Linked DNA regions of Macaca fascicularis. The protein of the gene in region 2 interacts with the protein of the main gene of each other region in a biochemical or structural test. Links are inferred from orthologs where the notes say so. Each region holds a gene or a part of one and is shown on either strand. Other genes may lie near its edges. The genes, in order: CREBZF and ATF4.

What was found.
Region 1: the proteins of ATF4 (region 2) and CREBZF form a complex in vitro, tested with the Homo sapiens proteins (2 studies listed by IntAct, with this or other methods). The link is inferred for Macaca fascicularis from reciprocal best matches to the Homo sapiens genes ATF4 and CREBZF.

What each region holds. Positions count from the first base shown.
Region 1 is NC_088388.1:84,705,520-84,710,021, forward strand, and holds the start of CREBZF (CREB/ATF bZIP transcription factor), read right to left. Parts: upstream 2,915-4,502; 5' UTR 2,661-2,914; coding exon 1,603-2,660; coding exon of another isoform or gene 1,599-1,602; exon of another isoform or gene 1,486-1,598; intron 1,390-1,485; coding exon 1,374-1,389; 3' UTR 1,312-1,373; intron 1,085-1,311; 3' UTR 970-1,084; intron 248-969; 3' UTR 179-247; exon of another isoform or gene 1-178.
Region 2 is NC_088384.1:12,124,490-12,128,695, forward strand, and holds ATF4 (cyclic AMP-dependent transcription factor ATF-4), read right to left. Parts: upstream 2,786-4,206; 5' UTR 2,593-2,785; intron 1,989-2,592; 5' UTR 1,897-1,988; coding exon 1,671-1,896; intron 1,570-1,670; coding exon 740-1,569; 3' UTR 655-739; downstream 1-654. UniProt on the Homo sapiens protein: Transcription factor that binds the cAMP response element (CRE) (consensus: 5'-GTGACGT[AC][AG]-3') and displays two biological functions, as regulator of metabolic and redox processes under normal cellular conditions, and as master transcription factor during integrated stress response (ISR).

The DNA.
Region 1 (4,502 bases), on a different chromosome or scaffold from region 2:
TTGTGCAAGAACAAGGATTCCATTTTCATAACCAAATAACAACAAAATAAAACATTTTATGTGTAAGATAACTTACATCTTTGGACTGCTGGAAAATACTTTTTAATTATGAACATTTTAAAAATAAAAAACAGCAGAAGCCCTGATATTACCTCTTTTTCCTCATTTCTTATACTACCTTTTAAAATAAAGCAGGAAATGTGGCCAGCAGCTGGTCCCGTCTCTTCTGCCCCAACAGCTGTATCCACTTTAGCACAAAGAAAAACAAGGATGCTAAATACGTATATACTTTATCAAGCAGTGATGTTTCACAAAGAATTTCTTAATGCCTCTTACACTGAAGGACACCATAACTCAATTTATACAAATGGTTAATAGATTCAAGGGAAGAATAAATCCCACCTTTGGGAAAATAGTGCCAATCGTGTTATTTAAGTGGCCAGAAGCACTCAATTTAAAAAATTATTCTAAAATAAGACAAATACTTTTGAAATACAGAGAATAAGATTCTTTGTGAAGCCTCACTTTACACGTTTTCATTCACATTTCACAACCTTCAATATCTAATCATACATATATAAATTTAACCTAAAATTTTAATACAACAAAAATAAAGATGTTCAACAATTTATTCATACTCAGTGATAGGGTAATCACTGCTGGTCCTCAAAGAAATATTAACCATTCTTATTCTCGAAGTAACTAAAACACAGAAGTCTGATATGCATGTTAATTTCCAACTTCTCTAATGGTGAGATACTAAAATCTGTTACTCCGTATAGACTGTTTCTATATCTCCTACTGAAAACTAAAAGGCATTGATATTTCAGAGGTACCTGTCACCTCCAGCAAAATAACTATCACATTTGTGCATGCCCCAAATACTTATTGTCAACCTCTGAAAAGTTGCCCTAAAATCGGAATTCCAATTTGCACCTTGTACAACTCGGAACTTCCATTCAACTTCACCTGTTTCACTGTCTCCAAACTGTATCTCTATAAGCAGGTTTCAGTGTACAGTTGGAACCGATGTCATCCAAGGCCATGTCCACACTGGGGACAGAAGAGCTAGGTACACGCAAGTCTGAATAAGGGGACACATTAATAGCTATTTCAACCAGAAGAGGCATCTTAAATACATTCTTGACCAGCACAAGTCTGTTTCCAGGGTGGACAGGGCCCAAATTAGATTTCCCTCCCACCTTCCAAAACAGGAAAAAAAAAAACCACACACACACAGACTGAGATGTTGCCCATTAAAGTAGACTAAGCAGCAGAGCATGAGCGTTACGGGAAGAGATGGATCCTTACCAGGTTGTGAGGCGGGAACGACTGTTCTGTAACCCCTACAACGGAGCCTGGCAGGAAGGAAATCACCTAAAAAAGAAACTGTCAGAGAGATTTAATAGTCACATGTTATCATTAGGAGTTGGTTACTGTGTCACATTCATGCTTTTAGCTAAACACTTTAAGATTCAATATTACTTTTTTTCTCTCCTCTGAAATGTGTCCGGTGAAGATGTCCCACTAAGGTAAGTTTGACATGGTGTAAGGGAGTTGAAAGGGGTAAACGCGGATAAAGAGCAGATTACTTGACCCTACATTTTAAGAGAAGACGACGCCTTCCGGGCGCACGCCGAGCAGAACTCCACCGACACCTTATCCTTGTCCACATGGAGACAGACTCCTCCCGCCGAGTCGTCCTCTTCCAGCAGGTCCTGCTTCTGCTTTCCCACCGGCAGAGCGTAGTCGTGGTCACCGGCGGGCGAGTCTCTGAAGAGCGAGGTGGTCAGCCGCAGTCCCACGCCGCTCAGCCGGCTCAGCAAGCGAGCCAGTCCAGTCTCGTTGGCTAAGACTGCCCGTAGGTAGCGACTCTCCTCCTGCAGTGCCTGTACGCGTTTGCCCAGCTCCCGATTCTCGGCCCGCAGTTCCTGGTTCTCGGCTGCCAGACCCCGTACTCGACTCTCCAGCCCCATCACGTACTCCTTCTTCTTCAGCCGATTAAGGCGGGCAGCGGCCGCCGCCGCCTTCCGGGGACTCTTTGTCGCCGCCTGGTTGTTGTCGTTACCGCTGCCGCCACCGCCGCCTCCTGGAGACTTTTTCCGCCTCTTTTCGGCGCTGCCACTGTCACTGCTGCTGCTGCAGCCTCCGATACCGTTTAACAGCCTCTGCAGCAGGTCAGAGAAGCGCTGCATTTCAGCAGCCGCGGCCTCATCGTCATCCTCCCCTCTCCACAGGCCGCCGCTATCCGAGCCTCCGCCAGACGAGGAGAGAGGCCCCGGCGAGCTAAGCCCGGGGTCCAAGTGCCAGTCCGGTTGCCGGGGGTCCAGGAGATCCGCCAGTTCCAGCCCAGACAGAAAGTCCATATCCTCCGTTTCTTCTCCGGGGAGGCTGGCGATCGCTTCCTCCTCCATCTCCTCGGGCGAGGGCGCGCGCACGGCCACCCTGCCGCGGCTCCCCCTCCCGGCTTCCAACTCCCCTTCGTCGCCAAGCTGCTGCTTGCGGCCGGGAGATCCGGCCGCTGCTGTCTCCTCCTCCCCCGCTGCCGCCCGGGTGAGGTCCGAGGGCAGCGAGCAGGTTGCAGCCGGGGCTGGGCTCTCACTGCGGGTTGGGGAGTTGCTGCCCGAGGCTGCCAGCAGCTTGGTCAGGCTATGCCTCATGAGGGCCGGCGGCGGGCCGCGGTAGGCCCTGGCCGCTAAGAGTGGGCCTCACGGGCCCCAAGGATCCCGCGCCCCAGGGCGGGTAGCCCCCGGCACTGGCCGAAACGAAATGCAGGGAAAGGTCCGAGTAGCCTCCCGCCTCAGTTGGCTAGTCGACCCCCCGCGCAAGGGCGCAGGAAGGGTCGGGAGAAAGAAGCGGTGAGGCCCACTGATGACTCGACCGCACCACCCAGACAACGGCCTGGCCGGAAGTCAGTGGTTTTCGCCCCAGCCCCGCCCACCGCGTTTCGCGCGCCACCAGGCCGTAATATCGCGAGGTTTTAGGGTGCTTTGGAGTGGGAATAATTCCAGCTTTCTAGTGACATCATAATAACTGCAGCAAAAATAACAACAGACTCTAGATTTATCCACCCTAATTCAATAATACCGCCCAATACCCAGACTCAACAGTTCAACACATTGTTTTGCCATATTTGCTTTATCTTTACATAAATGCTTGTAAATTTTTTTTGCTGAATCATCCTAAAGTTGCAGGTAAGACACCACACCCCTGCGTACTTCAGTGTGCATCTCTAAAACTAAGGACTTTTTTTCATAATCATAATACTATTACCAAGTCTTCAGAAAATTAACAATCGTTTACTAATACTATTTAATACCTGGGCCATACTAGATGTCCTCAGTTGGATAATGGATATGCTAATTACCCTAACCTGATCACTACATTCCATATGTATGGAAACATCACTATGTACCCCATGAATGTGACAGTTATTATTTGTCAATTAAAAAAAAAAAAAAGGAATGTAGAATACAACGTTCCTTACAAAAATTGTCTTCGGTTGTTCATGCCATTTTTTACAAGTAGGTATTTTCACTTGAGCCAAGATCCAATCAGTACTGACTTACTGCATTTGGGTAACGAACAAAAACTCTGACAAATAGAGCCAGAAAAGGCTATGAAGAGAGGGTACTCATACTTGTATGCCTGAAAACAAAGACTGCAAAACTACAACGTTGCACAAAAACCATCACGACCTTATACAAAACCTCTGCAAGGATGTCTGCCCAGAAGCTGCCTGTCCAACCTTGAACTGACGTCACCCTTGTTATTGACCTTTGTAGTCAAGATAATTATTTCAAAACAATGTGTAACCATCCTCATTTTTTTTCCTTTAAAACCCTTTGTCTTCCTTCGTCTTCCTGCATACACACATAGTTTACTATGGCATGCGTTTTCCCATTGAAATGCTCTATTTTCAATGCACATCTTTTATTTTAGAGACCTTTTCTGTTTGTTATTTAGGTTCACATCCCACAAGGGATTTGAGATTTGAAGCAGTTTACAAATACAGATATTTAGGTTCATATCCCACAAGAGATCTGAGATTTGAAGCAGTTTACAAGTACATTAGAATATAGTAAAACAAAACATTTTGAATTTTTAAAAAGCAAGGCCAAAAAAAAGATGAACTAGGAAGAGAAGGAGTTCTGAAAGGGGAAACGGTTAATATTGGAATTGGATGGATGCAATATCTTACTCAGTTGTTTGAGTTGGGCTAAAATTGTTTCCTGACAGCCCAAACAAAAAAAGAGAAATGAATTTTCCTTTGTTCATAAGTAAAGTATATATGAATTCTTTAACCACTTTTCTAGTTCTTAAATCTTAAAGAAACTTCTCTATAGGATACTGAATAATGTAGCAGATATCCTCTAGGATAGCTGCTTCTATACAGTATTTCTTAAGAGAGACAGAAAGCAAGTTCCAGGAAAGTTGAACACTGACAGGTCCTAAATATTGAGAAACGTGCTTGGTACACTGCACAGGCTTCAACAAATATT
Region 2 (4,206 bases):
GCGCTGATCCATCCTAGCATGATGCCAGGCCTTCTATTTAGGTAGCAACAGGCACAACAGCCTTCACAGGAACTGTCGCCTTTGTGCCCAGCTCTAGCCAGAACCTGTGCAGGATGTCATCCTTCCACCCCATAAGGAGAAATGGAGGCCAACCCTCAGCTCCTGTCCTGCTTCAGCATCAATTCCGAAAAGGAGCCATTTCTTTCTTCAGGAACACGCTTCTACAGAACTCAGGGTAACAAGTGAAAACTAATCTTGTGTGCTTATCTCAAGGACTGTGCAAGCTTATCCAGGGTTTCAGGCGACAGCTGTTGGCATGAAGCCCTCTTGAATAAATAGGTGGAGGCCCAGGCTGTCCCTCCCTCCCAACCTCCCAGAGAGCTCCAGCCTCCTCCCTACACAACCAGCGAACTCACCTCTGGGTAAAGGACCCAACTTGCTACAGTTGGCCAACTATCTGGCTGTATGGCCCCATGAGTCATCAGGCATCGTGGCTTACACCTAGCAGGGCGAGCAGTTCCCACTCTGGGTACCCATCTTCAGTCCTGGACTGCCCTCCTCCCCAGATCTCACAAGGAATGTTATGACCAGTTTGGGATGGGTGGGTGGCGCCTCACTCGGCTAATTTGCCAGAAAAAGAATCCACACAAGTACTTTCCCTACAAAATAATTTATTCCAACACACAGCAACAGCAGAGACTCTATGTACAAGCACACTGACGCTCCTGACTACCCTCAACTAGGGGACCCTTTTCTTCCCCCTTGCCTTGCGGACCTCTTCTATCAAATCTTTCAGGTACTGGATCTCCTTGGCCAGGGAATCCGCCCTCTCTTTTAAAGCCTCATTCTTCTTTTCCAGCTCTTTGCACTCGCCAGTGAGGGCCTCCTGCTCCGCCCTCTTCTTCTGGCGGTACCTAGTGGCTGCTGTCTTGTTTTGCTCCATTTTTTTCAGCTTCTTATCCAGTTTCTCACCCTTTACTTTTGCTTCTACCATCTTCTCTCCAGGAGGGTCGTAAGGTTTGGGGCGGGCAGAGCCACAGAGAACACCTGGAGATGGGAGGCTCCTATTTGGAGAGCCCCTGGTAGACGGGCTATGCTGAGGAGAGCCCAGATAGGACTCCGGGCTCATACAGATGCCACTATCATTATCTGAGGGGGTGTCTTCCTCCTTTATGCACGGAGGGATCATGGCAACATAAGCAGTGGCATCTGGCTTCCTATCTCCTTCAGTGATATCCACTTCACTGCCCAGCTCTAAACTAAAGGAATGATCTGGAGTGGAGGACAGGACCCCTGGGGAAAGGGGAAGAGGTTGCAAGAAGGTGAAGGGGGCAACCTGGTCGGGTTTTGTTAAACTTTCTGGGAGATGGCCAATTGGGTTCACCGTCTGGGGGGGCTCCTTGTTAGTCTCCTGGACTAGGGGGGCAAAGAGATCACACGTGTCATCCAACGTGGTCAAAAGGTCATCTGGCATGGTTTCCAGGTCATCTATACCCAACAGGGCATCAAAGTCGAACTCCTTCAAATCCATTTTCTCCAACATCCAATCTGTCCCGGAGAAGGCATCCTCTGCAAAAGATTTGAATGACAGGGCCAAGTGAGTCAGATACAAAGATAACAGGCCCCTAACCCTAGATCCCACCCAGACGATGTGGTGGTGGCCCACTCACCCTTGCCGTTGTTGGAGGGACTGACCAACCCATCCACAGCCAGCCATTCGGAGGAGCCCGCCTTAGCCTTGTCGCTGGAGAACCCATGAGGTTTGAAGTGCTTGGCCACCTCCAGGTAGTCATCTAAGAGACCTAGGCTTTCTTCAGCCCCCAAACCCGACTGGTCGAAGGGGGACATCAAGTCCCCCACCAACACCTCGCTGCTCAGGAAGCTCATTTCGGTCATGTTGCGGTGCTTTGCTGGAATCGAGGAATGTGCTTAATTCGAAGATGTCTTTGTCGGTTACAGCAACGCTGCTGCTGAATGCCGTGAGAAGCCTGAATGGGAATCAGAAGCCAACTCCCATTAGAGGTTAGCTGGTCTGAGAATTTCATCTTTCCACTTACGAGGCGGGACTTCTCTAGTCCAGCCATCTACAGAGTCGGCAACGGGGCAGTTGCATCCGCCCCTCCCTGCTGCGGCTCAGGTTCCACAAAATGGACGCTCACGGAGACCAGGCGATTCTTCCACCGGCCACCAAGAGGAAGGCGCTCCGTCCCCGCGTCCAAATACGGCCAGGGCGGCCGCGCCCCGCCCACCGCCCGCCCTTGACTCACGCCCGCGGCGCCGCCCTGCCGCCGCCATCTTGGTTCTTGCCACGTTTCGCGGGGGGGGAAAGCCGAGACCCCTGGGACCCTTGGGGGATTCGGGGTCCGAGGGCGGCAGGGCCCCTGTGGAAGCAGTCCTGGCACCAGAATGCGCCTTCCCGATCCCGGGCACGCGAGCGTCTCGGGGACACCCAAGCAAAGACCACGCGTCCCGGGCGCTCGTAAAATCGCTTCCTCCTTGGCGGCACCGCCCTGGGCCCCAGGCCGCACCCCACCAACCCAAAACCTGCGCCGGCCCAGGGAGCACAGCTGGACGACCCGCCCTGGTACTCACGCCATGGCTTAAGCCGCTGGGGGGGGGTGCCGCTGCAGAGCCTGGTGCTGCTGCCGCCGCTGCAAAGGCCAATGCTGCCGCAGGCACTGCTGCCCCTAATACGCCATGGTGGCCGTGGACCCTGCGGGCGGGGAGGAGGGAAGGCGCACACGTGCGAACCAAACTACATTTGTGGGCGGACGAAGTAGAAATGGCCGCAACAGCCGCCCGCCGGCCCTTTATAGACTTCGTCTCTAAGGGGACGCAGCACCGACGCATCCTTCCGCCACGGCCACGTGACCATCTCCTCCCGCCCGCTCGTTTCCCTCCCTTTGACGCCCCAACCGTTTATGCCCAGCGCGTAGCTGTGACGAGAAAAGGTGTTTGTTCTTATGACCTCACGAAACGAGAGAGGTGCACTACTTTACTTCTATGATCAGAGTCCGTTCTTTCCTTCGCCGCCGGAGCGCGGAGTGATCTCGCAGACACGCCTCGCTTCCGGTGTCGGCGCGGTGGGCGGGGAGAGGTCGTTTTCCGGCGGAGAGTTTTTATTGTGAAGGCCGAGGACGCCAAGTTATCGCGCGAGGTGCTGGCGAAAAGCGCGCGTCAAGTTGATTGGCCCAGGCACGGTGAGTCATATATACCTCGAGCTCTTATTGGCTCAGGGCCCCAGGTGGGCGGCTGCTGGGAGAGGGATCACGGAGTCCGCGTGGGAAGGGTCGGGGTCTCGGGTCTCTGCCAGGCCTCAGGCCGGCCAGCCTGCTGGCCAGCTACAATCGCACTGGCTTCTGCCCCCAGGAGACCTTAGCCTAGCGCACCCCATAGTGGCCTCAGGGCCCAGCCCCTGCGGTCGGGTCCCGCCGCCCTCAGTGGAGGTCCGCCACTGGCGGCCCCGCCGCCACTCCCAGCCTGCGCGTCCTTCGGTTGCGGGGGCTAATTTCTGGCCTGCGGAAACCGCGGGGTTACCTGTTCCAAGCCTGAGTTTTCCAGAGACGCCATTCATAGCCGACACGGTGTTGCTGCCCCCGGGAGGTTGAAGGGGTCTCGAGAGGGCGCCTCGGGCCTGCCCACCTACACTCAAAGGCCAGCTGAGTCTGCATGGCTCCGTCTAAACTCTGGAAAGGAGCCGGGAAGACGCGCCGTCCTGTCGCCCAACCTGGGTTTTTACAATTCTCATCCGGCTCAAGTGCGAGGCTGCCACAGAATAGCATCATAGGGGAACTTCTGGTGTCCGAAGATTGCGTTCCCCTAAGAACAGAATTTTCTTCGCTGCCATCTACCTGGGGTAGTTTCGATTCACTCCGGGTTCTGAACTCCCCGGCCTAACCCGCTTTTCAGTGGTCATGCCCATGGCCCTGGGAGGAGAGGCGCTTGGGAACCCACGGCCACGTGCTCGGGGTTGTGCGTTGGGAAGGGGGGGTAGTCTGTTTTAATACAGGAAACCTCCGCATCGTCCTCAGCCCCCTCCAGTCAGGCCCTGTGAAGGTAGAAACTGTTTCCGCCTCCATTTCACCGGGCCACACAAGTATTTCTATGATCGCTGTGGTATCAAACCACCAGGGAAGCACTGCTCTAAATAACCACAGGCCATCTGCTGCGCTCATTCAACCTCGCCCACAAGTCCTTTCCAATGGT